Linked DNA regions of Drosophila melanogaster. The protein of the gene in region 3 interacts with the protein of the main gene of each other region in a pairwise test. Each region holds a gene or a part of one and is shown on either strand. Other genes may lie near its edges.

Region 1 (7,420 bases), on a different chromosome or scaffold from region 3:
TTTATCTTTGTCGTCGTGCTGCTCTTAGCCCCCTTTTGCTACGTTACCTGCTCGAAAGTGCAGAGTCATTTTCGAAATTATAAAGTCATTTTGCTGCCCTTTTCGAGAAATTCGGAGGGACCAAAGTGTGGCGCTGATTTAAGAGCTTTCGGTTTTTTGGTTCTGTCATCTCGATGTATCATGTGATTATATTTGCGTCATACATTCAATGCTGAGAGCTTAATTGGGGCTTTACAAAAAACCGAATTCAAAGAAATATATTTACTTTGGTTGGATTTTATTTCCATTGTGTTCTGAGCTTTAGGAGTATATTATAGTGAAATGAAATATTTATAAAATGCAATCACTATGCACTGACCACTGGCCTATGGTGTTATAACAATCGAAACCGGTGATTTTACCCAGTCGTTTGTCACCCAATCGCATTCAATTTGTTGATCTGGCATGTGCATGTGTATATGTCAGCGGCAGGGTTAAAGGGTTATGGGTTTAAACGGCTACGGGGTTAAAGGGTACATGTGCACAAACGAGGGACTCATCAGCAGATTCGCGGTCAACTATCTAACCGGAGCGCCATGTTCATTGCGTTTTGTGGCTTTTGTCATTGGCCTGCGAAGTGGGAAGTCCTGGATGTCGGACGTTAGACACTGGATTTGGGCTACGGTGGCCAGAAAACGGGACCAACGGCCGCCGGCTGTGGTGGCCAGTGGTCAGATGAGCAAAATTCCTAACGAAGCGGTTAATGTGGGCAGTGCAATTATGAATTTATGCACATTTATTCGGCTGCAAGCGCCATTTACTATTTGCATACCCACTGCACAACTACATGTGTAGCAGCGGGATTCACGGAAAAGCGTTGATTTGCACGCATGCTTATTATATTTGATTTTTAGTTGGTTTCCGTCGCTTTGCGGTTTTCCTCAGCATAGGTATGTGGCTTATAAATGCTAATAATGTGGCCTGCAACGAATTGAATTTACAAAATTTAGTACACAGCTAGAAAAGTAATGCAACTATTTTCCAACGTTTAATTTTCCCAAGAAAAAGAAGGACTCAGTAAGCTTAGGTTTGTTGGTCTACCGCTAGGTGGCTGAGTAATGAGTATTAAGTAAGTAGTCAAAGCGCTTTAAACCCCAAATCTTTGAACTCATTTTTCCCCAAACATTTTCCTTAAATTCTCCTTTGCTGCCGAATATTACATATATTGTGTGTGGTGGGTGCGGAGTTCTTCCTCACTTCGCCTCCCTAAAAATGGAGTCGAATGGCTCCCACGTCAATTAGGGCTAATTTCATTAGCCGGCAATAACTTGCAGCACTTTCCCCAACCAGAAACTACTGGCCCGACTTTTCGCGACCCTTGCTGGAACTTTACTTTTTGGCTAATTTTGTTGCTGTTTCGTTAACGCCTCGGCGAAGTTGAACGTCGCGTTTATTTGTGCGTCATTGTTGCTCCTTCTGCTGTTTCAGTTAAAAGTTGTTTCAACTGGAGTTACATTTGGCAATTAGCCGCTGCATTTTCTTGCACTTTCGCTGCAGCCCCCTTTTGCATTGCAACCGGACTTCAGCCTCGTTCTGCCCATCGCACTTCAATACATATTTATTAGCCGCATTTGTTGGATTTTAGCTCAATTAAAAAGTTTTACTCGGCTACTTTTCTTCATTTCGGTTTGGGACCTGCCCTGTGACTCCAACTTCAACTTCGACTCCGAATGTGTTGTTTTGTTTGGTAGCTGTTAACTGGGAGTTAGAAACTTGGATTTGGGATCAAGGAGTTGCATGCTGGATGCTTTTGCAGCCACACTGCAGTTGCTGTCGGTGGCCTTTTTTGTCTTCTTGTTTTGCTAATTGCAATTACTTTTTGGGGTTCAGTCACTAGAAATTAAGGCATAAGCTGAATTTGAAATACTCTAGCCGTTAATCAAACTGCATAACATGAAAAATTAATAAATGTATTTAATTCAACTTAAGAACATTCCACCAAAAATATATTTATCGACTACCCTACAGTTTGTACTTTTACTTTACAAATCAAAAAACCCCTTTTGCAAGGGTATAAAACTGGCTTAAGAATTTATTCTTAAGATAGACTCATCCCAGCAGATGATTGCCGTTGGCACTCCAGCCGGGTGCCACGTAGTGGGGGCGCTGCTTGTGCACCACCGTGCGCACCACTGGCACTTTGACCGGATACGGATAATAAACTGGCGAGACCACCGGCTTCTCCACTCGGTAGGGTACCCTGCGCTCAACCACAAAGGGAATGGGCCGCTCCACGGGCACCGGCTTCACCCGTTCGATGGGAATCTTAACCTCTTGCATCTGGGGCACGGCCACCGTTTGGGCCACTGGTATTTTGATGGGCATGGGCTTGGGTATGGCTGCGATCACGGTTCGTGGCACTTGCACCTGGACGTTCTGCTTGAAGGGCACATGCTGCTTCTGATAGTGGGTGATGGGCACACTCTTAGTGATCTCGATGTGCTTGGCCAACGGCAATCCGGCTACCGCTTTACTGCTCTCCGGAGTATGGTGCACACTGGTGGTTATGGCTGGGAGATCTGCAATCTGGCTATCCTTGTGAGAGTACAACATCTGCTGGTCCTGGGCAACTCCCAGGCGCTGGTGATGCCGTTGATCCTGAGGATATTGCAGCGCATGTGGCCGCTTTTGTTGCAGATGTTGTTGCAAGTGTGGCTGTTGCAGCTGTCTGCTTTCAGGTTGCTGATAATGTCGCTGCTCCAGTGGCTGGCTTTGCTCCCGGTTTGGATGATGACTCGATAGGGACTCTTCCTGCTGACGCTTAACTGGATTGGCCGGTGTCTGGAGTTCTTTGAGCCGCGCATAGATACTAGTAATATCCTCCTGCTCCTGGTGCTGCTGCTGCTGATGTTGCTCCACCTCCTGCTCCCGCTGGCGATTCTCCCGGTAATTGGAAATTTGTTCGAAATGGTAATCGCTGGGACCGGGTAGCGATGTGGCAAACTGCACCCGCGGCCGATATGCATAGCTTTCGTAGTGCTGCTCCCCATGATGTGGCTCCACATCGTAGCCAGCGGAATTTGGCTCATAATTTGCCGTATTAATGACAAAATCGATATTGGCGGATGGGTCGCGACGCGGCTCCTCATCCGCGGTGAATGGCGAGTGCAGTTTGCTGTTGTAGTAGAAGGGCACAAAGCCATTGGCCGTGGTGCCAAGGGAGGATTGCGAATGGCGATGGTGCTGTTGATGGGTGGCGGCCAGGAGTTTGTGAGCATAATTTCCATATGTTGCCAAGTCATCGCCGGCTGCAGTGTCAGTGGGGCCATAATAATTTCGCGTATATCCTGTTAATCCCGGCAACGAGTCCACACCCGCATCCTGGTAATGGTGTTTGCTGCCATGTTCCAGCGACAGGCCGAGCGGGTACTCCGCCAGGGATAGGGGCAGTGGGGCATCTATGGCCTCCATTGTCATGGCCAAAGCGAGCCACATTAATGCATAGATCATTAATGAACTGGTGGCAGGTGACCCAAAGCCTTGGCCGGATTTTGGCCGCCCCATAACGTTGGGTGGTTGTGTGTGTCCTGAAATCCTGAACTCCTGTGTCCTATATCCTTTGTTCCAATCCGCCAACGGAGTGCGTGTTTGGATGCAGCTGGCGTGGGTGTTGCTCCGCTTTGAAATGCAAATTTGTGACATCGCGATGCTGTTTTTATAGCACACACACACTCTTCAAATGCTTGGAGCGCTCTACTTGTAATTGGATATCCTCGTTGGCACTTCAAGTTCATTGGCCAATCCACCATGGATTGTGTAAGTGGAAGCCCATGCCCAGGCACTCACTTTCACTCGGCGGCACACACCAACTGTTCCAGATAGTCCCTTTCTGGTTGTTCCTTTCAGATGCAAGTGAGGCGGCGATCCGCTGTCCGCACAATTCGCAATCACAAAATACGCAGCTATACCGCAATTGCTAGCCCGCAATGCACATCGACCTATGCACTGTGGTCTAATAGGGCTCAAAAATTAAAAAAGAAAATCTATTGTGGATGTGATAAAAATGGTAAAAATGAAGTTATTAAATTAAGTAAGTTTTGTTTTGAGTGCATAAATATTGCTTCCTTTTTAAGCTAGCATAATATTTGATAATTTTCAACATAGCTGTAACCACTGTGCACCGGTTGGCTCCCAGCCGCATCGGATTTCACACTGTGTGGCAGCTTGCGGTCAATGTCGCGGCCATTCCGATGTTTGATTGCACAAATGGTGACGTGCGCTTCATGTGCTTGCGGTCCGGTCTTTGCCAAGTGCAATCGCCGGAGATTTGAAACGCGTCTGAGATCTCGGATTGCAGCACTTTCAATTTTCATCTGGATGCATTCGACGACATTTGGTATCGTTGCTCTTGCATAATTTACCAGCCACGCCTTCACTCACTCAAAGCTGACAATGCACTTTGGGTCTAAAGTGATTCAATTTTAAAGAACCTTTGCGGGAATAGCATTCTCAGCGATTTTATAGTGCACTCAGCAAAATAGTTGATATAAGATTATAATATTTCTATATTCAGGTTTGTAGAATTGAAGATACATTTAATATGTGATACATAGATATATTATACCTTAGTTACCATTTTTGTGTTTTCTGCCATTCGTAGTTCGTTTAAAGTATTGTAGTGTTATTTTCCGATTTTAATCTTATATTTGTGATTTTCTCTGCGAGTAGTTGCCTCTGGCGGGAAATCAAGGGAAAGTCGGCGAAAAACGGAGATAGAGCGAGTTCTTTTCGTTGCTAGCCTGGCATCCTTGGATCATTCATCATTCTGCTCTGCATTTAAGTTTGCAAAGTTCACCAGGTTCGCATCGCCACCTTTCTCTATATACATATATATATATATATTTGTATATATATAGACCCACCTTAGCCACGCCCCCTTAGAGCGGCGTTAGCAGCAACGCCCACCGTCACCGCACTTTTGAAATAACAGCGCAAAGTACAAGTAAAGTGTATTTTCACATTGAATGAGGTTAAGCTTCGTTAAATTTTGCGCAGCTTCACTGTACAGTTAAACCTCCCCATCCATATCACCTGGAACGAGAGTGTGTGTGTTATACTTGTTGGATGCAATTTTTTTCGCTTCTTTTTCATTACTTCAAATGCTTTCAAGCCCTGTGAAGCATATTTTAGCAAAGTTCCCATAGAAAAGAAGCCAGCCAGCTAGCCACCCAGCTTAACATGGCCAAAATGTGTAAAGAAAAAAATCTACTAAAAAAAAAAAGAACAGAAAATAAAAAAAAGTGAGTAGAAAAAATCGACAAAACGATGGCAAAGTTAAATGCCTGCATACACATACTTATTAAAGTTCAAAGTTTTCTTTGGCGCGCTCTGCATAAAATCCATCATAAAATTAACAGGCGGAGAGGAGCAGCAGGAGCAGCAGGAGCAGATTTTGCTGTGACACTGAAACTTCATTAAGTCACGTTAAAACGTTAAAATGAGAAAACGGTCGAAGGAAAGGCAAAAATCCAGCAGCCAGCAAAAACAGAAGCCAAGGCAGCCAGCAAATAGCCAAGAAATTCCAGCTATGGCATAGTTGGCAACGTCGCTGGCCTTTGCTTGACCCGCTCGGAGGTGGGTTTTTTTTTTTTTAATGGGGGACTCAGAGGCTTCGGCGGATACGGCGGACTCCGATGTTGTGGGTGACTCGGGGTCGACGGTCATCGTTGCATGCGAATTTAATCAAGTCATGCAATAGAATTTACGGTTCCATTGCCTTTCGGCCGTCGATGCCGATGGTCGTTCCGTCCTCGTTTGTTGGTCCACTCCCCACAAAGATTTGGCCCAAAACTTGGCCTTGGCTGTATAGTTTGGGCCCTAATGCCAAGTGTCGTCCCCCATTGCCCTACCGTCCCCACATCCCACTCATACCTCCTCACCGTACAGTTTATTCAATGTCCTTCGGCTTTATTCCTGGAATTGAGCCGCCTGTTTGTGTTGCTTCTTGAGTTTTTTGTTCAATGCTTGTTTTAAACAATTTGCGGTCCTGGTTTCGCGGGGCAGGGGCTCAAAGTTTTTGAGGCACTTTTATTATTTCGTATTGTGGCACAGGAAAAATTCGTATACGTGATTAAATTCTTCGAATTTGAATTTATAATTTGAAATGCGCATTTTTTTTTTACCCTTTTTCGTTATTGCATTTTTTATGGAGATATTTATATATGCATATGAATTTATGAAATATGCCAATCAAAGCTGGCTAAAAAGCATTTTAGGGTAACTATAGTGTTTGATTAATCAAATTATAGGCCATTTGATATGCAGATAGTTCAGTTAGGTAAACAGTATTTAAATTTTAGAAAGTTGAGGTAAATTATTAAAAAAAAAAGTTTTTTACTCTACAATGCTTTTTTGCATTTACAAAAGTTTTCTTTTTATGAAGAACCTTTGCCTTGTAAATATAGTTATAAAATCTTTACTACACTTTTTTTTCAGTGCTACGTTGCTTCCCCATTTATTTACTGGTTCATGGAACTTTTTTGGAATTCCTTGGCAAAAGTAACTGGCAGCATTTCATTGCCTGTTTTTTTTTTTTTTGATTTTTGCTAAATGGAGAGAGTCACTCCGCTTTGCTGTTGACTCAGGTGACCGAGGACACCGCCTCGCGTTTTGTGCAAACTTTTCGATTGACTTGAATGTCAACGCTGGCCAGGTTTTTAAATAAATATCAACAGTTCTAATGTGCGGCAAAGTGACCATGGTTTCGTGTAAGAGGGGGGAGGGGGAAGTTGAAAAAATGAAATTTTTCATTACCTTCCGCTTTTGGCCAAAAGCATGCTGCGTGTGAGGCCCGTTAGCTGAATTCCTGGTCTGGAGCGCTGGAAATTTGCAAACCGCAATCAAAATTCCACGCCGCGGCTCTTAATTGGTCTTTCTTCAGGACGCAGGACGAAGTTTCCTAGTGCCCTATTCCTTTTTGCTCGTCTTTGGCCAGCAAGGAGGAGCACCTCCTATTTCATTTGATTTTCTTTTTTAGGTTTTGTTTTCGCCTACACGTTCCACACAAATACAAATTTCAATTACGCGTATTGCGGGGCCAAATTGAAATGCCTTGGAAAATATTTTCCTGCCCTCGGTCATAAGAAAATGCAGCCCGGCTTTCACTCCAGTTCAGCTCAGTTCGTTTCGTTTTCTTTCGGCGGAGTTAAATAAATTCCCCCCCTTTTTTTTGCAGCCCCTCCCCCTTCACCCCGCCGATCAACAATCGCGTGCATTTCATTTGCATTCGGAATGCGCACAGCAGCAAGTTTGGTAGTACTTGAAATTTATTTGCCAATTTTGTAACATGTGTCCTGTTTGGGTCTAAGTTGAAAACTTTTCACTCGAAAAGGCGAATTCGAAATGGCGGTGCGAAATTCATTTGGCCTTTGCGGCTAATGAA
Region 2 (8,422 bases), on a different chromosome or scaffold from region 3:
ATAAACAGCGATAATGATCTGTGACTTATTGGAAATTAGATGGCTTATGGATGATGGGGCGATAAATTCGAACAAACACTGAGAGCATTTTTGGGAGCATTGTGGGAGCTTTTCTATTATCCAGTACTTTATATACATATATCATTTATATACTAATCATTTCTGGTAGCCGTTCGTAATCAGGATCGGATCCTTTTTTACCCGTTAGTCAGCTAGAAGAAACGAAAAATTAAAATAGTAAAATCTAAAAGTATACAAAAATTCAAATAGTAAAACCAAAAAGTATTAAAAAAAATATCAATCGTTTTTAAACGTTGATTTTTCAGCTTGTGGGGTGATTTATCGCTAACTTGGAAAATGATAATAAAGCATTATCCATAATATTAGTTGTGGAAATGAAATTCAAATAGATGTTGTGTTATATACGATGAGGATGTTGCATTTGAGTCCCCGGAAATATAGTATTTTTTTTACCGAAGGTATTATCGTACCGGTCAAGTACGGTCACACTGCCAAGCGCAGATTTGAGGATTTCTAGATTTGGCCTCTTGATGGACTAGAAGCGCTACCAAAACTGGGGCTTGAGTTGAATTACCTGTTGGAAGACACAATGCCACCCACGATCAACAATTCGGCGGTAAACAGTGCCGCCGAAAAGCGACCCCAGCGGCAAACGGAGCGCAAGTAAGTGAACAGATCCCTAAACAGACGCCAGATACTCAGACTGATGTGTACCTTGCAGATCCGAGATCATTTGCCGCGTGAAGTATGGAAACAACCTGCCGGATATACCATTTGATCTGAAGTTTCTGCAGTACCCCTTCGACAGCCACCGCTTCGTGCAGTACAACCCAACGTCGCTAGAGCGTAACTTCAAGTATGACGTGCTGACGGAACACGATTTGGGTGTCACGGTGGACCTGATTAACCGGGAGCTCTATCAGGCCGACTCCATGACGCTGCTGGACCCCGCCGATGAAAAACTGCTGGAGGAGGAGACTCTGACGCCCACAGACTCTGTGCGTTCGCGCCAGCATTCGAGGACGGTGTCATGGTTGCGCAAATCCGAGTACATCTCCACCGAGCAGACGCGCTTCCAGCCCCAGAACCTGGAGAACATCGAGGCCAAGGTCGGTTACAACGTCAAGAAGTCGCTTCGGGAGGAGACTCTCTACCTGGACCGCGAAGCCCAGATCAAAGCCATCGAGAAGACCTTCAGCGACACCAAGAGCGAAATTACCAAGCACTATTCCAAGCCCAATGTGGTGCCAGTGGAGGTACTGCCTATCTTCCCCGACTTCACCAACTGGAAGTTCCCGTGCGCCCAGGTCATATTTGACAGTGATCCCGCTCCTGCGGGCAAGAACGTGCCCGCCCAGCTGGAGGAGATGTCGCAGGCCATGATTCGTGGTGTGATGGACGAGAGCGGCGAACAGTTTGTCGCCTACTTCCTGCCCACAGAGCAGACGCTGGAGAAACGCCGTACAGACTTCATCAATGGCGAGCTGTACAAGGAGGAGGAGGAGTACGAGTACAAGATCGCTCGAGAGTACAACTGGAACGTGAAGACCAAAGCTTCCAAGGGCTACGAAGAAAACTACTTCTTCGTGATGCGTCAGGACGGCATCTACTACAACGAGCTAGAAACCCGTGTGCGCCTTAACAAGCGTCGCGTTAAGGTTGGCCAGCAACCCAACAACACCAAGCTGGTAAGTATATTTATGCGCATACATCTATAGCGAGCTTTACTTTGTATTATTTCTACCAGGTTGTCAAGCATCGTCCATTGGACAGCATGGAGCATCGTATGCAGCGCTATCGCGAGCGCCAGCTAGAAGTTCCTGGCGAGGAGGAGGAGATCGTGGAAGAAGTGAGGGAAGAGGAGCAAATGCAAATCATTGGCGAGACGGAGAAGACGAGCGAGGACGCAGCTGTTGGCGCACAGGCAGCATCTGGAGCGGACTCACCCGCCCAGGTAGCCCGCGATCGACAGTCTCGTTCTCGGAGTCGAACTCGCAGCGGGTCCAGTTCAGGATCTGGATCTGGCTCCGGCTCTCGGGCCAGCAGCCGCTCAAAGTCTGGTTCTCGGTCTGGTAGCGGCTCCAGATCACGCACAAATTCGCCGGCAGGATCCCAGAAATCCGGATCCAGATCGAGATCGGTATCACGTTCCCGATCCCGTTCCAAGTCCGGCTCTCGGTCGCGTTCTAGGTCGAGATCCAAGTCCGGTTCCCGATCACGTTCGGGCTCCAGATCTGGCTCTGGGTCGCGATCGCCCAGCCGGTCTCGCAGTGGCTCGCCTTCTGGTTCAGGATCCAGCTCTGGAAGCGCCTCAGATGAATGATTAATTACAAAAAACGGCGTTCATAATAAATAAGTTTATAATCAACCAAGTACATTTGAAAACTGAACTAACTCGATTTAATATCATTTTCGCCTCAACTCAGCGCTCGGGTTCGTTGCCCAGAATAGTTTTAAATAAAATCGGCAGTTTAACATAATTTATATTAGATGTTGTTGTTGTATTGCAAACAAGTCGGGTCCTAGTCGATTTACACTTGGCTGAGATAAAACAACTAAGATTCAAATAATATCCTCATAAGAAGATGTAATTAAGACGTTTTTCTTAGGGGGTGCTTAGGAATTGATTAGATCGCCTTTGGGGAAGTGCAAACAATGTAAAATGATATAAAAGGGTATAAATTAAGTGGATATATGCATCTTCGTTCCAACTACGTGGCGTCCATCAAAAAGCGCTGGAAGACTTCGCCATCGGAACTAGGTAGCTCTGTTTGTTGCGGTGAGTAGATTCTCAAGTTCTGGAGTTGCTGCAGCGGAGAGCCATTCCCGCTGAAGTGTACCACCGCAACCGGCTGTAGGGATATGAGCTGTCCCTCCTCCCGCGGCTCCACACCACAGATGCCCAGCTTTTGGCACTGCTCAACGACAATGTCGTCGATTGACTGCGAAAGCAGTGCCTCCTGCTCAGGATCCACAATGGAGCTGCTGTTGATGGCAGCTATTTCGGCGCTCGCTGGTGAAGGCTGAGTATGCGAGTCGTTGCCCTCCAGGAACGCCTTTATCAGCTGCTCCGGTGTCTGGGCCTCCTCGGTGGGACATCGATGGGTCCTTTGACTGACCTTGTACCTGAACGTCTTTTGGCAGAGCTCGCACTTGTAGGGCATCACTCCCGTGTGGATGCGCGTGTGGACAAGGAAAGAGACTCGCTGCCGGAAACACTTGCCTGTGGACGAGTCCGAAATACGAAAAGGTTAGACATGGAGTGACCCGGAAAAGAAGGTATACCTCTCCTTCATTTAAAGTAAATAGGGCAAATCGCAATGGAGTATGCTCATTTATAAGCTGGCTAACAAAATAAGGGGCGGCTAATTAAGGGGTTTGATCGATACTCACCGCAGACTTCGCACTTGAAGGGCTTTTCGCCGCTGTGAATCCTCTGGTGGTTATGCAGCGTAGACAGTTCCTTGAAGGCGCGTCCACAAACCCCGCAGACATGGGGCTTTACCTCGCTGTGGTAGAGCAAATGCTTGTGGTACGACTGCTGGAAGGTGAAGGTCCTGGCGCAGATCTCGCATGTGTACGGCATCTCGCCGGTGTGGAGCCGCTTGTGCTTCTTCAGAAAGTACTTGGTGGTGAAGGACTTGCTGCACACATCGCACTCCCACAGCTTCGGGGTGGCCGTGCCCGACTCCGGCGAACTGGGGGACTGCTGGAGCATGCTCAGCGCCCCACTCAGCGCGTATGGCTGGGATGCGGTGCACGTGGAGTTATTTCCGTTGCCAAGGGCTCCAGGCTCTGTGTGTCGAATGCGATCGCAAATGCTCAGCTTGGGCGTGGCAGTAACTGCACTGGTGGTAGAAGCGGGTGTAGGACTGGGATTAGGATTTGGATTGGGATTGGAGCAGGGCACGCCCATCATGTGCACTACTTTCAGGTGGATTCGAAGGGAGCCCTTCATTCGGAACGTCTTGGAGCAGAGATGGCACTTGTAGGGCTCCTGGTCCTGTATAAAGCAATAATCGGAATTTCACTTATATTTATCAATTCATCAATATGCCCTCATGGCCAAATATTCCATTACATTACCGTCTGTCTCTCAGTTTCAAATTTATGCACAAAAATCATTCACTTTCATTCACTATATCACAAAGTTGCCATGGTTTTAAATTGATCAAAAACAAATTAATATCTATCATATATATACATAGTCATATGAACAGTTGAAAAATTAATTGAAAATAATGGGAACGATATACGTACATACATCAGTTGTTTTTAAAATATAAGGGTATATAGATTTCTTTCTTGTTGTTGTTGATTTTAATTACGTCAAACTTTTGTTTCAGATTCAATGTAAATGGTCTAGCTTTTTAAGTATGATTTTTTTTTGCTGCCAGTGAGCATAGAAAAAAAAAATCAAAATCGATATAAGAATATGCGAAAGTGCATTACGAAACTCTTTAGATAATAGCACTTAATATATGTACATAGCCAATAGTTACCGGTTCCTTCTGTTGGGGTTCCTTTTGCTTGGGTTCTCCCTCCGCATTTTCGTGGACTAAGCGGACGTGCATGTCCCTCAGCTCGGTATTCCGGAAACTGAACTCGCAAATGTCGCAGTGGGCGGGCGGGGTGGTCCGCACAGGCGGTGGGGTTGGGACGACGGGCTTGGACCTGGTTCGCTTGGCCCTCCGTTTGGGAGGAGCTGCGGCAAGGAAGCCCCGGGACGAGGCGGGTTGGCCATTCGCTGGACTCTCGTTTCCCTCCTGAGCCATCAGACTTGTGTGCGAGAACAGGTGGATGGTGAGCTTGTCCAGCCCCAGGAAGAGCTCCTTGCAGTTGGCAAAGGGACAGGCCAGTGGGCCGTTGGCCGCCTTGATCAGCCTCTGCTGCAGTGCGTCAATACTGCCGAAACTGGGCACCGCGCAGAGCGGACACAGCACCGAGGTGGAACACATTTCGCCAGTGCACTCAATCGAATCTTATGCAAATGCTTCACCTCCTATTGGGATTATCCTCCTGTTCGGTCTGTGATCATCTATTCAGGAGTCCATTCCCAGACTGCCTAGTCTTTCTGCTTTCAAAATTTTCTAAAAATATCAGCAAGTGAAGATTTTTGAAAACTTTGGGCCCAGCAATCTGACTTCTCGGCACCGATGCCAGCTAACGAAATAATGAAAAATAATGAAATGCCCGGCGCGGATCGTCGAATCGTCAAGAAGACTTTCGGAAACACTCGCAGCACCGAAATCCCATCTCTCGAACAAGGCAGTCTCTTTTCTCCGTGTCTCTGGGTAGCTCATTTCGAAATATAGCTCTGAGCACGGCTATATACTATATGTATGTAGAATTATTTCTGGCCGATATATGTTGCACTGGCGGCCATATAGCCTTCGTTCTAGTCTTTGTAACGCACGATGCGCAGGAGCAATTCGCTGAGATGACCACATGCGATTTGCGGGACTTATCTAGAGATCTATCATTATCGCCAGATTGGTTTAATAATTGGCTTTTCCGCCAATATCCAATTGGAATATGGTTGGTTACTGCAATTGTCGCTCCATTTTTTAAGCACTCCATAAAAAGTAAACACATTAATATGTACTCTTATTGGAGATTTCTTCTTTCGATTTTAGTTTCGGACCAGTGAAAATCATTCGTTTCATTTTCGTAAATAAGAACTGAGAAAATATTATTATTATATATATTTCTTTATTAGGAAAATACGAAGATTGAGTATTTCAGATTGAATTAGCATATCCGTCTAAATCTTAATGCTGTAATGAGCTTACTTGAGATCTGATCAAAACCAATACAAAACCCACACCAAAGGTGGTAGCTAATATACATATTTTGTGTAATACTTTTGTAGAGTATTTACTATTCAGCGATTTAAACAAGCAATCGCCTAGACACACACATTTGTCCGCCTATGTGTATGTGCACCGAGCTATACCCCCACTGAATCGCTGTGTGCTATTTTTATGGCCGCGATGCTCTCTTGTTTTGACCCGCTTGGGCAACGCATTTTATTCGCTGTTTCGTTTAGATGGTCAATTTGTAAACACTGCGATGCCAACACGTGAAGATACGAGCATACGGGTTGAGATCATCGGATATCGAACGGAATAATAAATAAATATATTTTAGACTATTATTTTTTCTTCGGCAAGGGCAACTCAAGCGATATGATGCTCAGTCCGGAGTGGGAGGTTGTGGAGGATGTGTCATCCTTAAGGGAGCTCATGTCGGAGACGGAGGACCGGGCACTAGCCCCGTCGCAGGAGAACTTCTTGCCCTTAACATTGAGGTAGGAGGCGGTGTCCTGACCCTGCGAGGACTTGCCCGAGGAGCTGCTGTTCCAGGACACGCGGCTGCACGTGCGCTTCAGGTGCATCGGCAACTTGATTCCTTTTCGCAAGAGGATTCCAATTATATCCGTGCCGCTCTCGTCGCTGTTCGCCAGATCGGTGATCATGTTCAGCGCCTTGGTGTTACGCGCCTCCAGCTCCTGTAGAGACAGATCCCGCTCGAACTGCGCCAGGTACTCCTCGCTAAAGGGCCGCGCCTTGATCTCCCGCAACTGTGTCCGGATCTCTCGATTGGCCCTGTCCAGCTTCATTCGCTGGTCATCTAGTTCGCGCTCGATCTTCTCCAGAACTGCAGAGTGCTCCGCCCGACTAGCCTTCGCCTTCTCTATTTTGGAAATCAGGTCTTCCTCCTCAGCTCGCTGGGCTGCGTGCTTCTGCTGGTAGTGCTGTGCCTTGCACCTGAGAACCTTCAGTTTTTCCAGCTCGCGGCAGTAGGCCGCCTCAAGTTCCTTCAGCTCCAGTTCGGCCCGCTCGCGATCTAGAAATTAGAAGTATGGAAAAAATCTACCAATTTAACATTGAATTACACAATTCTAAGCCACCCGGCTTGTAGACATGGCTAGAATATGACCGCTTAATGTGCTATTATAGTTACTGAAAGTCGGAACGGACGGACGGAAATGGCCAGATCGACTCAGGTATGGATCTTGATCAAGAATATCTATTCTTTATAGAGCCAGAAAACCTAATTTGTTCCTATTCAATATCTGTATCTGTGAGTGTTATTAAAATTCAAAATTAGAGCAATGTTGCTAATACTAGTAACCCTTTCCACTCTGAATGGTCATTTATAACTCACCCTTTGAGTTTTCGTCCACAGATCGGAATGTTTTTCGGTAGTTATCGTTCGATTTGTCGAACTGGCGCAGTGTGTTTTCCAGGGCGACCACTTCCTTCTCAGCCTTGAGAACCTTTTTGTTGAGGGCATCGCCCTCGTCGGCCAGCATCTGCCGTTCCTGGGCGCTCACCACCTTCAGCTGTGTGCTGGTCATGATGGAGCCGTCCTCGTTTTTGCCTAGCAATTGGGCGGTAAGTTCAAAGCGCGCCTTCATCGCCTCAATCTGCTTCTTCCGCTCCCCGAGGTCGGCTCGCAGGGTGCTTAGTTCCTCGTTAAGATGCTTCTTCTTGAGGAGGAGCACATCCTCTTGGCTGCGAAGCTCAACGGTGCGATCTTTGATGGCGCGCCGGAAGGCAAGGCGGTGCTGCTCTAGGTCGTAGGTGCCCTGCTCGCAGCCTCCGATGCCAACCTCTAGGTCGCTGCAGCGCATCTTGACCATGTTGAGGTCGACTATGAGCTCGGAATTCTCGTATCGAATCTGGCGCAGTCTCTTGACGGTGCCCTCGCAGTACACCTGGGCCTCTTTAATCTTGAACCTGACCATTTCGAGCTCCTTCTCGTCGGCGTTGTACTGGACGACCAGGTTGTTCATGTTATAGTTTAGCTTCTTATTCTGCGCCTCCGTGGTGGCGATGAGGCGTTGCAACTTTTCATACTCCTGCTCCAGAGTGTTAAGCCGGGCCATGTTTGTGGCCTCTACCTCGGGGTCATCTGCCAGACCCTTGATCTCGGCGAGACGCCGCTCCGCCTCCAAGCACTTAAAGGACAGGCTGTAATGGATCTCCGTCTGCCGCTTGAGTTCGTTATTGACCTGCTGCTGATTGCGATTGATCGCTGCCAGGTTGGAGTTGAGCGAGTCGTTCTGCACCTTCAAGACCTTCTCCTCGTCCTGCAGCTCGATGACCTGCCTCTGGGTGCGGTACAACATCTCGTTGACCTTCTCCTGCTCCTTGTCCAGGTTTCGCAGAGCCGTCTCCTCCGCCTGCATCATCTCCTCCAGAATTTGCAGCCGCTGCTCCGCATTGAGGGCCTTGTTCTGTACAGACTTCAGCCGAGCGTTAACCTTCTCCATCACCGAAGCGAAGTTCTCCAGCTCCTTGGCCTTCTCATCGCGCTTTTTCATCTGACTACGGTTATCCATGCGCTGCAGGTGAACCCGGTTCGAAAGGTTCTCCAGTTCCCGACGCAGTCC
Region 3 (8,886 bases):
AAGCATTTCACAACCATAAGCTCTCGCCAAAGCTCTCTCGAAGTATTCCGCACTGTAAATTTCCCGCTCCATAGTTATACGACTTTTCAGATGAGACCTCGCCAACCGACTGAGCCCATGTATGGTGCACTAGTTACGAAATTATCTCTGAATTACAAAAAGTATATCTGGAAGCTTTGCGGTTATCACTGCACGCATGATCAGCACAGAAAACAATTTACTTTTCACTTCAGATTCTTCACATCTTGTACATTTCAACATTGGTGAAATGGTTTCATTCACTTATTTAATAGTCACATGTAATACATAATTTACGCTGTAAATACGCTTAGGTTTTTCGATTTAAAACGCAATTTAACCCCTTTGTGAAGAAAACAGATAACGTTTTGGATGTTGTAAAATAGTCTTAGAATTTTTAAATTCGCAATTTTACAAGAAAAAAATTCTAAAAATATAATTTTATAAAAATAAAATTAATCTGATGAAGAAACTTTTCTACGTGTAGATCTAGAGAATATCCGTTTTGCGGAATTAAATAATAAAGTGTTCTGGTAAGCACACCCCAAACAAAGCGGAATTGTCGGCGGCTTAACTGAACCACTTGATAAAATTATAATTTATAAAAATTAGTTAAGTGGAGCCATTGAGTGGCCATCGGTTAAGTTTGTCGAAATTAAACTTTGCACACGGGGACATTGTTAAGATAATTGGAAAATCTTCATAGATATGCTAAGAGCAACGTGATGATATTCTTGAGTTGAAGATGATAAAGATAAGATTGCCTCACGGAAAAATTTTGAGGATTACATTTCAGGCTCAGCAATTTTCGGCTCTTCTACAAATGAATTCCTTAAAATATGCCTCACTATATTAAGCAGTCTTTAGATGATATAGTAAAGATAATGAAAAGAAAATAACGATAAGGAAATAAATATCATTTAAGATAAATAAACGGCTAAATAAATAAATAAGAGTTTAGTTTAATAATCGTTTAACTGGTAAAAAGAGATGTATTTAATATTCTGTATATGCGAGTACAGGTATAATCATATGAAGGAATGATTTCTGATTACATTGGGGAAGGATCATAATACATACGTATATCATACATCATACATCTTACATACATACATATATATATTTATATACATATATACATATATACATATATATATATGTATACAGAAATGCATGTTAAAAATATATGCATGTGAAACGAAAAAAACAAAAGTTCTTAGATGTTTTGTTCTATGATCATATTACAATGATACTTTCTTATTATTGTGAGAAGGAAGTATTTGTTTATTTGAACCCACCTTTGCGAATGTTTATTAAATCAACAAATATAAGCATTTGCATTGAATCACGCTTATTGCAGTAAGCACCATAAGTGCACGTTGAACTTTTAATCAGAATACATTATTTTATACACAATAAGCACGGGTTTAAAATGTAAATGCTGAAAAACATCTAAATATTTACAAAATTAAGAAAAGCATCGCGCTTACAAACTAGTTCCATGCAAACTGAACTGGTTAAATTGAGCCATATCAGCTGTTTTATCAAGTTCCTTCGAAACGATAAGCTGAACCACCAACAAATATTTTGTATTATCGATTCGTAAATTGATATCGAAATGAAAAATCGATTATTTAGCGGTTTCTTTAAACGCTGCATTACATATTTGTATTTTGGAATGCGTTTTTTAAGCTCTAAATTTGTGCAGCGAGCCTTTTCAATTCTTAACATAGCATTTGAAACTTCACAATAAATTAACGCCACACCTATATGTATATATTACTAAAACGTTTAAGCTAACTATAACTACTCAAAAGTGTTCTCCTCCCGTTTAAGGGCACTAAAGAAGTCGGTGTTGAGTAATTTGCTGGGATCAACTGTCACAGCCGACTTCACAGCCCTTTGGTCATCCGCATTCTTGACAATGCGTTTCCATTCGGAGAGGTCGTTGACTGGATTATTGGGCTTGGCCTCCAGATGAAGGGGTTTCAGCATGAAATGGGCTTTAACCAGTTGGTTTAACAAACGCACTAAATGACAGGAAAATATTTAAAAAGTTAGCAACGGAAAATATGGAATGTTGTTAGGTCATTTACAATGTATTGACTGAAAACCAAGCAGGTTCGCATGCTCGCTCCACCAGTTGCATATGAGGCTAAGGTAATGCTTGGTCGTCTCCTCGGAGTCGCGAAACAGACAGGTGAGGTAATACTCGTGAAAGACAAGGGACAGAAGGTGCACTGCGATGCGGGAGATCTCGCCAACTTCTTCGGTGCCTAAATAGAAAGCACAAATATTGATTCGTGTCATTGATCATATGAAAATGATTTTTTTTTAGCTCAAACGCACCTGCTTTCCTGCTGTGCAACATCCATTGGTGCATCACCTGGAAGACAATTGTTACCGCACTGAGGCACAACTTTACATAGCACTCGCAGCCTTTTCCTCGCTGCGTTGTACTTGAATTTGAATTTTGATTCGGGTTCGAAACAGACGCTGATGTCGATCCATTGGAGACCGATCCCTGCACAGCTCCTGTGGAGTTGAAGCTCAGACTGGTGCCTGTTTTCATCAGAGTACCATCGCTGGAGTCCTCGTCGCCATCGTCGGCAAAGTAAGGCAGCATTTCAAGTATGAAATCCGGTGGGTTTTTGAAGCACTCGAACGCGAATCGCACATGATTTCCTCCGATCTTGAGCAGCAACTGAAAGTAGTCCTGCCGCAGAGGAGTTTCACTAAAGAAGCATAGCTCGAGTAGGCCCGCGTAGACCTGAAGTAAACAGGAGTCGGGACCAAATCGATAAACGGAGCGAACGCGATCCGATACAAAGCAGTCCTTGGGACTATTCACACACATTTTATCCATAAGTTGGGGATGTCTAAGGCAGCTTAAAAAGCAGGAGCTAAGCTCAGCAAAAACCCAAGGACTGGGACGAGTAAAAACTAACTGCTTAAGCAGATCGAAGAGTAGCTCCTCGTTATGTTGAAGAAGGGCATTTTCTTGTAGGAGGCTATTTAGGAGTGAAGTCAAGGCTTCCAGCAATCCAAAGTGTTGGCCGACCTCGTAGGAAAATCCTAGTTTTGTGATAGCTTCAATAGCCATATCTAGCAGTCCCAGATCATTTTCTTTCCACTCCGTGAGACCTCTAGAAATCCTTTCCTCTCGCCGGCAAATCAAAGCCAAGGTAGCTATGAAGCGACGCAGCGGAACAGCCTTTTCGTTATCATACAAACAGCTCTGATGGGTCAGGGAAATGCGATGAACTTCCTCCTCTAGGTTGTGGGGATTGTAGGGATACAGCATGCAGTTGTGTGGAAAGTCCAAACTTTGAGCATACGAAGCAAACTCCGTGAATACCTTGCCGACCGACGAGAGTATTCTTGGCAGGAGGTTATCCACAGATTCCGGCTTTGCCTGCAGCCGAGCGTAATGAAGTAGCAGTTGCTTTAATTCCAGTTCAAAATGATTTCTTCGTTTCTTAGTCTGATCCTCATTTTCGCTGTATTCGAACACACTGCCATTATCGGTTTTCAGCCCGGGCACAGATCTGTGTATGTTAAGCCTATTCAAGCGAAGTGATAAGCGTTTCTCCAAAGGATCTGGAGCAGCCTGTAAAATGCTCATGCTGGAATTCATGCTTCTTTCATGGGCTTTTTGCTGTGTCTTCAACTTTGAGAACTCGGCGTTCTTAATCTTCAACTCGATGTCCTTGGCCGCAATTTGTTTGGCCGCTTCTGCCACTTTTTTGTTGCAATCCCGATTCGTTTCGTCGGCCAAAGCCAGCTTTTCCATTTTGCTAGCCTGCAGCTGCTGGCGCAAGTGCTTCAGCTCATCACGAAGTAAGGAAACCTAGAGAAATAAATATAAATGGATTAGTTTCTGTAAGGTCTAGAATCGGTGTTATAGTTCCACCCCGATGTCCACCTACCTCACCAGACTTGATCTCATTGCGTTCCTTACTGTCGCCCAAATTCTTTTCCAGCTGCGCGTTTTCCCGCTTAAGGGCTTCAATCCTATCCATGAGAAACTTTAGCTGATGCTCCTGCTGGCGGGATTGCGTGGCATTGATGGTCGTCGTGGTCGTGGTTTTCTGCTGAACACTTATGCTGCTGGTAGTTATCCTACTTGTGCTGGTCTTCGGCTCCGGCATCTTTTGTGGCTCACTGTCCATGAGGGTAACGGCCAGAAAATCGAAATCATCATCATCCGCGAAAATCGCATCCATATCCAGGGAAGTAGGCTTCTTTTGTGGCGGCGGTGGCGGCGGAAACATTTGCTGTGTGCTGGTTGAGCCCTGAAAAGTGGGTGCAAATTCGCTGAAGGTGACCTCGCTGTTGCCGATGTCCACCTCTGTTCCGCCCTTCTTTTTCCGCTCCTCCGCCTCGATTTCCGCCTCCGCCAGCTGGGTGGCCATCAGGATGACATCGTCATCGTCGTCCCAGAGAATCCCATCGAAATTGTTCCTCGGTGGACTGGGTCGCGCTGATCCGCGGGTAACGCTAACATCCAGGCGCGGTTTCTTGCACCGCGCGAAGTCTTTCATGGCAGAAAAGCGCTTGGCCATGGTTCCTCCAGTTTCCGCTATATTTCGTTACTTTTTGGCCATGGAAAGTCGTAGATTATTTTGCCGGTTTGCTTTGTTTATAAAATGTAGAGCTCAACTAGCGTTGCCAGATGGATTTGATCGCAACGATGGATTTGCCCAACCAAAATAGAGATTATGTTTCGAATCCATGTTGCATAGAAAAATACTACATTAGGATTTACTGCAACAAAAAGCCAGTTTTGTAATATCGCTCTTTGTTATTATGCTGGTTTTTTTTAAGCGCCGATAGAAACCCGCTACAATCACAGTTTCAAAATCCGATTAATATTGAGCAAAACCAAAGTCATCTGGCTACACTCAAGTCTATCGACTGCGGTGTATCGGCATGTGGTGTATCGACTCAGCTTTCCCATTAACCTCAAAGGAAAATCAAAGAATTCTGCGGAAATTCTAGCCCAAAACTAAAGGACTTACGGGGAAACCAGAACCCAGCGACTTCGGTCGAATTTTCGAGGTGACGGGCGGCGCGAATGGAACGCCATGCCAGCGAAGAGGATGACGGTCACCACAGCAGCAGCTTCGACCATCAGTGGAGCCAGTGGGTCCACCACGAATAATGGTCAGTCTGGTGGCGGTGCACGCCCACTGGAGACGCTAAACGGAATGACCAGGCTGACCCCCGCCCGCGACTTGACCCTTGGTGGGCGCGGCGCTGGGACAGCCAGCAAAAAGGTCTTTGCTCCCAATTTGAATGCTGTGCGCAATAAAAATGCGTGAGTTGTGGAATGGCCCAGGGGGAGTCATTCTTTTCATCATCTCATTTGATTCACAGCAATGTCAAGACATCCAAGGACACCACGCAGCCAAGGAGCGGCCGCAGAGGTGGACGTGGCAACGGCACTGGAGCAACACGTGGTCGAGGTGGAAATTCCGCTGGCGGGGGCAACTCCACGCTCATCCAAACCCAGGGACTCTTCTCCGAAGGAGCAGGCGATGTTCATGTGCGAAGGTCCACAGGAAATGGAACGGCATATGCACGGGGCGGTGAGGAGGTGTCCGTGACCAGGAAACGGGTGGATCGCAAGGACGACAAGAGCCAGGCCGAGCGGATCAAGGAGCTCTTGGGCGAGTCGGACGCCAGTGGCGGCGAGCTCAGCGAAGAGGAGGCTAACAAGACTGAGATGGCACTCAGGCCCATCCTGCTAAAAGAGGGTACGTTTTACAAGCACTTTTTGATGCACACGGGCAGAAGAAATTCATGCTTTATTTGTTTATAAACGTTAGGACTCTGGGTCACCCAGAAGACACCGATTGCGAAGCAAGAAATCGCCAGTTCAACCTCAACACTTAAGGGTAAGGCGCTAAGCTTTAAAAATGGCATAATCTAATTTGATTTCGCTCCTAGACACTTTGGCAGTGGCCCAGCATTTGCAACAGCTGCATGTGGCTGCCCAGGCAGCCAGTTTAGAGGAACCTCCGCTGCAGTACGGTCGCTACCCACGCACCATTGGTAACTTTCTGGACTCCAGCGAAGCGCAGATCTTTCTCATGCAACTGCCAGATGTGTTGCCATGTGTGGGCGACGATTCCGAAGATCCGGAACCGTCTAAAGGAGATCATCAGGCCACCAGTGAATCGGAACCAGCAAGTCCTGCAGACAAATGCTCAAACGGACCCAAGGGCAGTGTACTACGGCAGCTGGAAGAAGGGCAGATCGGCAAGATTCTGAGGTACAAATCCGGTCGCGTTAAACTCCAATTGGGGGACACACGCTTTGACTTGGATATGGGTCTCGATCCGGGTTTTCTGCAGGAACTCATGTCTGTAACCGCCAATCGCGAGCAACGTAGTGGAAACATGATCAACTTGGGACCCATTCAAGCCAAACTAAAGGCCACTCCAGATTGGGTGCACCTTTTCCAGCAGCAGGATGCGGCATCCAAGCGAACGAATCCAGTACCGGGCACGTAGCACCCACTTCCCCATGGTAGATATGTAATATAGTAAATAGGCTGCGCCTAAGCTTAAGTTATTCCTATTCTAAATGCCGTATATAAAAGTTAAATATAGAAATTTTTATAATACAAATGCTTTTCAAAAGGTTATTAACAATTGTACTCGAATATGGAACATAAAAGAGACTCCAAGAAAGATGGGCTTGGAACTTGGGGATATGTAACGTAAATTAAGCCATCAATACTTAATGCAATGACCCAAGATTAATTTTTAGGTTAATGGATTGTTGATATATTATATGTTCAAATTAAGTGATTATTATAATTTCAAATACGGTCTTAAAATTTGAAAAGTATTCTAGTTCTAGCAAATCGCTTTACAATAGCTAGGTTATCCAATTCCTATTCTTTTGCGCAAATCAAATATACTTAAGTGTGTTGTTTATTGTGCAGAAAAATAAAAAAAAACACGGACTTTCAACTTTGGTTAGAAACCTATAAAAAGCATTTTAATGTAACAACAAACTAAGACACTGCATTAATTAATTACTCAAAACTTGCTGGTTGGGTTCGGGAGTGGCGTCCGGGAGCTGAGAGGTGCTTCGTCCGTGGTAAAGATTACCGGCCATATCGATGGCGAAATTGTGGTCCACGGGATTGGCCAACGCTGTCTCAATGGCTGCATCCAAGTTTTCCCTAGTGATATAGTTCTTGGAACGCTCAATCTCGAGCAGCACCCGCTGGTTGGCCTGCTCCTTGCGCTCCTCCTCGCGCAGCTGTTGTGCCTCCAATCGCTCCTGAATATAGGCCACCTTTTCCTCACGCTTCTTGGCCAATCGCTGATCACGCTCCTTGGCTATGGCAGCGTTCCAGGCAGCATTGGCATCCAGGCATTTCTGGAACTCGGCCTCCTCCTGCTCGGGAGTGAGCACGATGTGATCTGCTGTGGATGTTTCCTCGTGGCGGACGACTTCCTCCCTTAGAAACTGACGCACTGAGCGAAGCTGCGTTCTGAAATCAAGGCGTAGATTGTTTTGTATAACGTCTTTTGAAACCGATTACAAATTATCTTTGACCAGAGACAGAATCTGGCGCTGGTGCACGCACTTGTACTGGTTGTGTAGCCTCATGAGCTCCGTGCGCTCCTCCTCCGACTGCTTCTTGCGTTCAGGCACGCGGAACATCTTGCTCTTGGCCACCGGCAGCCATCGCGGTTTCCTGCGCCAGCGGACGAACTCGAGGGCGAAACTATTTCCGACCGTCTTCCCGGTGGGCAGGGTGGACTGCGTCAGCAGCTGGCATCCCGCTCGCAGCATTATAAAAGCAGTTTAATTAACAAAATGTAATTTTTACTTTGCCGCTGCTGAACTGTTGTGCAACTCTGTTGTCGGTGAACTGGTTCCGCGCAGTTCGATTGCTGGTTCCGTCAGTGATGACCAATATGGAAAATCGAAGAATCAAGGAATAAATCAATCTTAACAAATCAAATTCAGATAGAAAGGCAATAGTAATTTGGTTGTCAACTTACTAAATTTATTGTCGTACATATTCATATTAAAATATAATTATATACTCAGCTACATAGATATATTTTTAGGTACAGCTTAATTTTGCGTTGCTAACAAGTTTTTGCAATTAAATTGCGCAGGTTATGAATGTTTTTTATTTGTCCAAAGATACAAGCTTTGAAGTCCAGACAGATCTGTTGTGAAAATAGCCAAACTTCCAACGCACTAGTGCGTTTCTCACAATTGCGCTGCGCTCAGCTCGGGCTTAAAAGCTTTTGGCCAGGTGAACTTGACGGGAAGGTACGAAAAGTAACTGCTCACTCAGTCGACGATATATCGCCGCGCTGGCCGCATTAAAATCCGAGCTACGGAACTTCGCTGTTTCGCCTCTTGTACGTGGGCTAACTTAAAACAAAAGTGGCTTGCGCAGCCGGCGCGCCTTGAAAGTGTGTGTGTGTTCGTGTTTAAAAAAATAGTGTGCGTTATTGAAAAGCTAAGTCAGTTAGAAGCAGTGTGGAAAGTGCATATTGTATATATCTCTTGCCAAGGCTAAAAGTGTTAAAAGTTAACTCCCAGAAATGCACACACGCATACCGATGCAAGCGAAAAGTTAAAGCGACGATCATTCATTACTGCGTCTTCTTCTTATTCATCTGCTCTTTGCGACGTGTTTCGCTTACCTGTCCAAAAAGCCCGAGTATTGGTGGGCTCCACAGCTCCATAGCTCCCTCTCTCTCTCGCTCTCTTTCGATTTGCACATGCAAAAAGGCAGCAGCAGCAAGAACAACAACAAAAACTCCATCTGAGAGCTTTAAAGCCGAAGTTCTCGACGCAGACGTCGGCGGGAGCAGAGCTTCA
Region 4 (7,814 bases), on a different chromosome or scaffold from region 3:
GTTCATCGCCAGGCAGGCGTGATCAGATGGCTGTGTCCTGTATTTCCAGTTCATCTCGCCCAGTTGCAGAAAATGCGCCACAATTGGCACATCCATGACGAGTCGCTCGGGACCACCGGCCTCCAGGAGCAGCACTCGCCACTGCGGATTCTCTGAGAGTCGGGCGGCCAGGGCACAACCAGCCGTTCCGGCGCCGACAACTATAAAATCATACTCGCTATCCAGTATCACATTGTTGTCATAGTTCTCCAGCTCAACGTCCGCCTGGCCGCGTCTCAGAAAGTTGATCGTCTCGAAAAGGACGTTATTGTTATTCTGGGCAGAAATTTGACTCCATGTGGCCATATATGCCAGGCACAGGCCTACAAATATCAGCGATTTGCTTGCCATTATTGGGCCTTTAGTTACTTGTAACGATTTCTTCAGCACTATTCACACCGATTGCACAGTCAAAAAAAAAATATATATATATGAATATAGCTGGATATGATAGACGAACGCGTTCTGAGTTCTTGTGATCGACGCGATCGCGAGCGTGTTGCCCAATCGAATACGTAACTAGAAATGCTGACAAATGCGGTGGCCAAGTTCAATTTAATATTAAATTCGGCGGCGATCGGCGAACGAAACGATCGCTTTGCGAATCTCTCGGCACTCGGTTTTTAGTTTTCGGGTTTTTCGGTTTCTTCGGCTCGCCAAGAATCTTCAAATCTTTCGGAAGACTTGACTATGGACACGTTCACAACCATCTGCGCAGACAAACACAAAGACGAAGATCGGTTTAAAATTGAAAGCTCGGACGATCTGAATCTGAATTGGAAACTGAAAATGTATCTGTAGTTTTTGACATTGACTTAAGCCAGCCAGATCGACGAGATCGTTAGCAACTGTGAATAAGATGCGGAAGCCGTGGTGTCAAAACATTAAAGGGCCTCCCATGGCTAGAAAACCGCTGGTTAAAAGATCCTCATCGATTGATTTTGGACTACTGTAATTAGCATAGTGTCATCGTGATTCTGCGTGATTCTTCTTTTTAGCAGAAGAATTCGGGCGGGGTTCTTCGATGAACCTGTCGCCGATGTCTCTGGCTAAATGTCAAACCAGATCTTATATAATTATGTACATAATATAGAATTTTATAGTTCTAAATGTCTATCGGTTACTTCAGCTTTTTATATTAAGCAGCATGCTTATCAAAAATATTTATTATTTATGCCAACGAAAATATAGTAAAATAATCTTTTTATAGACTAGTTGTTATTGTACACCTATTACACCTGTAAAATTTAGGTTTAAATGCAGGAAATAATCGAATCTTTCATTACTTTTAGGCTTCATTTAAGATTGATGACAAACCAGCAATAATTTCTAATTGATTTGCTGTTTCTCTGTGTAATTTTGTATAATTTGCAAACAAATTGAAATATCATCGAAAGAATCATAAATCAATGTTATTGTAATTTCTTTTTAATGGCGACAAATTGACAACAAAGTTCTCATTTATCTATTACCCTTTTCTTAATTTGAATTTTTCTTTTATTGATATTTAAAAACTTTGAACATAGAAGAACTGATAGAACAAACTATCAGAGTTTGTACTGTATTGTATCGTCTTTAATTCACTAGAAATCACTCAATGGAATAATATTATATACATATCTTAAGATAACCCATCGGCTTAAGAAAACATAGTGTGCTTGCTCTATACGAAGTTATGATCCTCCTTAATCATATCGGCTGCTTTTTCAGCTATTAGGTAGACGGGTCCATTGGGATGACCCGAGATCAAATAGGGCATAATGCTTGCATCCACAACGCGCAGTTTGTCGATGCCATGGACCCGCAGTCGGGCATCCACCACCGCCGAGGGATCCGATCGAGGACCCATCTTGGCGGTTCCTGAATAGTGGTAAATGGTGAAGGTAAAGTGTCGTGCATAACATGCCCAATAGGCGCTGCTCTTCCATTTATATTTCGCACAATTGGGTATTCTCTTTTCTAATAAGTGTGCACCGATTGCCTTAAATGCGGGCATATCCAGTAAACTTACTGCCTGCTCGATGCCGCGAACTGTGATGTTCATGTCATAGGGATTTGCGAAGTAGTTGGCATAGATCCGTGGATGCTCCTCGGGATTTCGGCTCTTCAGCTTGATGCGACCGCGACTCTTGGCGCGCAAAATCATCGGGAATATCAAAAAGCCATTGGCACTCTGGCGTTCCAGTTCGCCAAACATGGTCTCATAGATATTCGATTGGATGCCCAATGCCAGACGTAGGGCCAAATTCGTTTGCAAACCACCGCCCACCACAAAGAGTTCCATATCGGCCCAAGCATCGGGATTACGTGCATCGTCCAGGGCGTAGAATGATATGGCCTCCACACCACCCGGTATGCGGAGCACTCCGCGTCCCTTCAGGAAATCTGACATTGCCTCCGAGCGGAACATCTCGCTCGTTTGCAGCGAACTCACATTGCACAAGAAGCTGATAGCCGGAGCTATGTGATCCTGGAGGTTGTAGCCAACGGCCAGATCGGCCAGTGGCTTTATGCCCATCTCCCGCAAATGTTTAGCGGGTCCCACGCCGGAGAGCATCAGTAGCTGGGGTGTATTGATGGCACCCGCCGATAGAATGACCTCTTTTCTGGCCAAAATCTTTTGCATTTTGCCATCCATTTTGACGATTATACCAAATGCCGATTTCGTCTGCGGATCAATCAAGATCTTGGTAACCAAGGCATTCTTCTTCACATGAAGATTTCGACGCTTTCCCTTAATGGGATACAGATACGCTCGATTGGAGCTCCAACGGGTCTCATTGTAGATATTCGCCTGCAGATAGGACACACGAATCTGTTTATCTCCATTGTAGTCACCTCGCGGCAATCCTGCATCTTGGGTGGCTCCCACAAAGGCGTCTGCGATGCGAGTCCTCGTCTCCGAGTAGCTCACCTTCACCGGCCCATTGCGTCCCACCAGATTCTCATCGGCATCCGGCACTACGCTGCCCTCGTACTTCTTGAAATAGGGTAGTACCTCCTCGTAACTCCAGCCCGGATTGCCCAAACGTGCCCAGCGATCGTAGTCGCGGCGATTGCCCCTGGTGTACATCATATAGTTGAGCACCGAGCTGCCACCCATCACCTTGCCCCTGGGCCAATTGCAGCGATTGTTGTTCATGGCCAGGCAATAGCTATTCGATGGCTCCGTTTTGTACTTCCAGTTGATTTCGCCCAGCTGCAAGAGATGCGCCACAATTGGTATGTCCATGGCATAGTTCTCGGGACCACCGGCCTCCAGGAGTAGCACTCGCCACCGGGGATTCTCGGAGAGTCGCGCGGCTAGGGCACAACCAGCTGTGCCGGCACCAACCACTATGAAATCATATTTCGTCGTTATGACCTGACCCTCGTCCAGATTCTCCAGATCCAATTGCGCCTGACCGCGACGATAGATCTCGAGCATATCCATCAATGCATTGCCCGTGTCAGTCTGGCTAATCACCATTGAGAACTCCAGTAGCCAGACGACAAGAAGGGTTCCGATGTGATTTCGTGGCGAAGTCATCATGGAGCTTCATCACCTTGCAGCCAGACTCACTCGACTGCCGCGATCGACTGGAACGTTGAGTTCTAAGAGCAGAACTAAAACCTAGAGGCTGGGGGTAAATGCAACTACAAAACTCATGGGGGCCCTGCACTGTTGACAATTACGGCTTTTGGTCCGAACTATAAGTCTAGTTCGAGACTTATTTTGTATATTTTCCAACAACAGTGGAAACTTAGAGTATGTGTGGAAGAACAATTGTACAATTGATCGATCGATCGATCCAATGATCGTTAACATTCCAGCCAAAATGCAGTGCGAATGCACAAATGAAATGATTCGCGGGGTATCGTATATTCTAAATTGTGTGCTGAATATAGAAAACGCTTAATAACGGGGTCTGATCTAATAATCATTTCGATGCGTTGTGGCTAAGGGAAAATAACAACGAAATTAGAACTTGGAGGTGACGATAAAATAGTGACTGGTATAATTATTACATCAGAGCTACTGATTATTATAGGATTCATAGGGGGAATAACAGAATATCTTGAACTTTAATTGCTTGCAAAACCATATGGGTATGAAGTTATATCCGGTATAGCAATAATATTATAAGAAATATGTAAATGGAAAATTTTACGAAATATTGCGGTTGCCAAGTGTAATGGCAGTGTTTAAATGATATAAATAGAACCATGAAATATAGCCATAAATATACCATGACAAAAGTGGAAAACGTAAATTTGAAAAGCAAATATGCCAATAGGATTTCATTTACGAAATAAACCCAACATTATAAACTCAAGACACCAAGAATGGCAAGAGTATTACTAAAAGGTTTATGGTAATTGGCAAATGGTAATTAACTCATCTAAACTATTTATTTGTTAATTTATTGATTTGTTTCCAAATAATCACTGGGCAAACGATCAGTAGTCGCTTCTAATTGTACTTGCTTACTAGTAAATGGTGAATGGATTCGGAGGCATGTAATGTTTGTTTTTATGCATGGGGCTCGTTTTTTTTTTTTTTGTATTTTTTTTTTATTTTTTTTGGTTTCTTTGAAGCAAAGCTTTGTGTTTAGTAAGTAATTTTTATAATTATTTCCGCTTGCATGTGAATATTCGTGAGCTTAGAATGGGAGAGCCCACGAGAGTCGATTGGCAGTTTGGCAGACGCTGTGAAAAATTCCAAGATACTCCATACGCCCCCGGCTTGGAAACTTGGTGGCTTACTTGGCAACGTAAACTTGGCCAGTCGACCGCAACCGTATGACATACTAAAAAGAGTAAAAAAACAAAAAAAAATGTATACAAAATAAAAATAAATTAAAATGGTGCTTAATGCTTTTTTTTTGATGTGTTCTCCGCCCCAAATGGCGTCGTTCTGATGGTATATGTTTTGCCGAAGGACATCGCCCAGATATTCCGTTTGCACAGGGAGTATATCATCATCATCATCGCAGGAGCACACGATCGGCATACAAATGAGGTTCGTAAGTGTTAAGAACCCTCGACAAAACCATCTGAAGGGCATCCCAGAACCAATCTCCGTTGACATTCAAGCCCAAATGAGCCGATACGCTGGACACTTTGGAGTCAAGGCTAAAAAAGCATTGCGGCTTCCAATTTCGCAATTCGTCTGCGATTCGCGGGCTTCAAGTTCGTTGTGCTGCCATTCGATTATATGCAGTGCAAACAATTCTTGTGAATTCAAACAAATTAAAACTTATAATTCTTAAGCTATTGAAAAATATGAAAGTAATCAACATATCGATTAGTCTTCTTCATTTTTCTGCAATATTTGTGAGCTCTGTATTCGAGTTGCCATTTAAGAAGGTAGTGGTGGTTTTTTTTTTTGGCCAGTGCATCCAGCTAACGGCAATTAATGCTGCTGTGACTCTTACTATCGATAGGTATTGTGCTGGCTGAGATACAGCAACAAAATGTGTGTTTCTGTTCGCATAAAGTCAAGAATTTAAGCAAACTCGTTGTCTTTGACCGAGTTTTCATAGTTGGCAACTGCCGATTTTGGCCAAGCTGCTCTTTGCACTGACTGACAATTCGTTTATTTGGGGCCTCGACCATGTCTTTAGTGACTTTTTGACACTCACTGGCTGTAGTTTATGGCATTCGATGGCGGCAAAATAGGATGCCAAAGCATTTAACTGAAGGATTTCTCTCTAGTTATTAAATTTAATATGAATCGAATTTCCCTGTTGATACAGCTGATAGCTTGACATTCTGCCGAATGACTGGCAGAATTTGAGAAAATTTGCTGGCCATAAAATGTTCTTAACTTAACCATAAAACGCGTCTTATGGGTTTTTTTTCCATTCTTTTGTTTTGTTGGTGTCGATTAATTGCGTTGACTTCGATCATCATGACAAAGCAACTCGTTCACTATGAAAAATTTGCATAGACAATGTTTTAGATGTGGTAATATTTGCCGATCGAAAAACAGTTAAGAGATCTCATTCCTGATTAAAGCGAAAAACAAGTTTTTTTTCGCATTTTGTTACATTTGAAAAATATGTTCAAAAAGAGATATAGATTTTTGCAAGAACTAAGAGGCTCGATGTTTTATGAATGAATGAAGGTAAAATATATATTCAAGGTTTTTATTTACCATATAATATATATATATATTTCTTAACACCAACTGAATACTGAGCATACGAAAAAACATTTCGTCGCTTATTTGTACATTTTCTTAGCTTAATTTAAACATGTTATTTTTTCAAAGCGGGTGTTTCCTATTTCGACATGCTAAATACAGCAGCTTTATTATCTTGTATTTTACGACAGGCCATTACAGGCAGTCACTTAGGAGGGTACACACAAAAAAATATTATTTCCGGATACATAATATAGGGAAAATATGTTGCTTTGAAGTTTTCAATAAGGAAAACCTTTTACAAATTGTAGCTAACATCAATATATGTATGTATATATTTCTTGCTGAACAATCATCTTTTGTTTAAGTCGAGTAGGTCAACCAAGAACTGTCAAAATTTCAAAATAATAGAGCATAAACCGGAAACTTTGGTCATATCACATCTAAAACTCTGAAAAATGCACAAACCAGCTGTAAGGGAACGTAAACCTAGGATTACATTCTATCCTAAGACTTTACCTCTATCAAGAAGATTTTCAAGTTCGACAAGTTCCGACAGTGAGCCAAGTTGTTCACAAAAATATTTAAAAAACGTACAAATCAATAGGATCTCAGCTGAAACTCTGGGTCCAAATCCCATTTGCTTTAGTGTCCAATATCGTAGTCCTAGTCATTCCGAAAAGGGTTACGATGCGGATACCGATGATCTATGTGATGATGAAGATGATGATGAAGGGGATAATACCACAATCACGAGTCAGCAGAATTGTATCCCATCAAGCTCAAGTCCTTTGAAAAATTTTGTACTCCCAGATTCGATTCCATCTCATAGATTTGGTGGATTTCTAAATGTCCTCTCTCGCAGTTTGTATCAATCATTGGCCAGGATTGCGACTGGGATTGGATTGAGACATCAGCAAACTGCATGGTACAAGAACTGCTGGCAAAGTCCTGGTTCCAAGCCAAAAAGTGTCCATCTTATGGATCCATCCGCGCCCAAATTGGTTGCGCCAAAACATCAAAACAGCGACAGTTCCACAACTAATTAATATCGTTTACATTTAGCCCCGAATTGCAATAGTCTGTAAAATAGATGTTCAAAAATATAATCTCAAACAGCCAAATATACGTAGTCTTTTCATTTAATCAATAAATTGAAATATACATTATGTACAACCGGAACCAATGCATAAATATTGTACAAGAATTACTTCCTTTAAATATTATTGCATTTTATTAAGTGATTTCCATAATTCGATTACACATTGTAGGAAGTCAAGCTGAGTAAATGAATCAATTATTGAGACTTCCCCCGAATTTTTGGAGCCGCAACAAATCGATTCATTTGCAGATGATTGACATGACAAAGCAGAACAGAAGTTGAATAACATTTTGATACGATCATAATGCGCATAATTGCTATACGCCAACGCGAACGCATAAAAATATAGATACAGATACAATCCAAATAGATACACAGACCAAGTTTGGCCAGATAACATTATTGTTTGCCAAGCACTAAAGCACATTAAAGTGCGCAATTATTTGATTTGAAGTCCACTATTCGGTGGTGCGATTGTTGTGATCAATGGTCAATGGAGTGCACTCAGTTCAAAAAGAAATAGTCGATGAAGTCAGGAAGTTGATT

The links.
Region 1: the proteins of mus304 (region 3) and CG13840 interact in a two-hybrid assay, tested with the Drosophila melanogaster proteins (one large-scale study listed by BioGRID).
Region 2: the proteins of mus304 (region 3) and CG14655 interact in a two-hybrid assay, tested with the Drosophila melanogaster proteins (one large-scale study listed by BioGRID).
Region 4: the proteins of mus304 (region 3) and CG9519 interact in a two-hybrid assay, tested with the Drosophila melanogaster proteins (one large-scale study listed by BioGRID).

What each region holds. Positions count from the first base shown.
Region 1 is NT_033777.3:22,812,549-22,819,968, forward strand, and holds CG13840 (uncharacterized protein), read right to left. Parts: upstream 3,631-7,420; 5' UTR 3,490-3,630; coding exon 2,089-3,489; 3' UTR 1,935-2,088; downstream 1-1,934.
Region 2 is NT_033777.3:4,775,096-4,783,517, forward strand, and holds CG14655 (uncharacterized protein), read right to left. Parts: upstream 5,208-8,422; 5' UTR 4,980-5,207; coding exon 4,524-4,979; intron 4,025-4,523; coding exon 3,415-4,024; intron 3,245-3,414; coding exon 2,733-3,244; 3' UTR 2,402-2,732; downstream 1-2,401. Other genes in the region: atms (antimeros), read left to right, coding at 611-684, 743-1,709, 1,769-2,344; Ccdc39 (Coiled-coil domain containing protein 39), read right to left, coding at 6,176-6,870, 7,192-8,422.
Region 3 is NT_037436.4:18,105,612-18,114,497, reverse strand, and holds mus304 (mutagen-sensitive 304), read right to left. Parts: upstream 4,685-8,886; 5' UTR 4,584-4,684; coding exon 3,948-4,583; intron 3,869-3,947; coding exon 2,368-3,868; intron 2,295-2,367; coding exon 2,115-2,294; intron 2,049-2,114; coding exon 1,825-2,048; 3' UTR 1,651-1,824; downstream 1-1,650. Other genes in the region: CG32195 (uncharacterized protein), read right to left, coding at 1-72; Polr3D (RNA polymerase III subunit D), read left to right, coding at 5,106-5,338, 5,398-5,777, 5,850-5,918, 5,971-6,536; mRpS26 (mitochondrial ribosomal protein S26), read right to left, coding at 7,063-7,531, 7,628-7,836. UniProt on the Drosophila melanogaster protein: DNA damage checkpoint protein required for chromosome break repair and for genomic stability during development.
Region 4 is NC_004354.4:14,852,733-14,860,546, forward strand, and holds CG9519 (uncharacterized protein), read right to left. Parts: upstream 3,630-7,814; 5' UTR 3,572-3,629; coding exon 1,703-3,571; 3' UTR 1,596-1,702; downstream 1-1,595. Other genes in the region: CG9521 (uncharacterized protein), read right to left, coding at 1-390; CG46399 (uncharacterized protein), read left to right, coding at 6,625-7,215.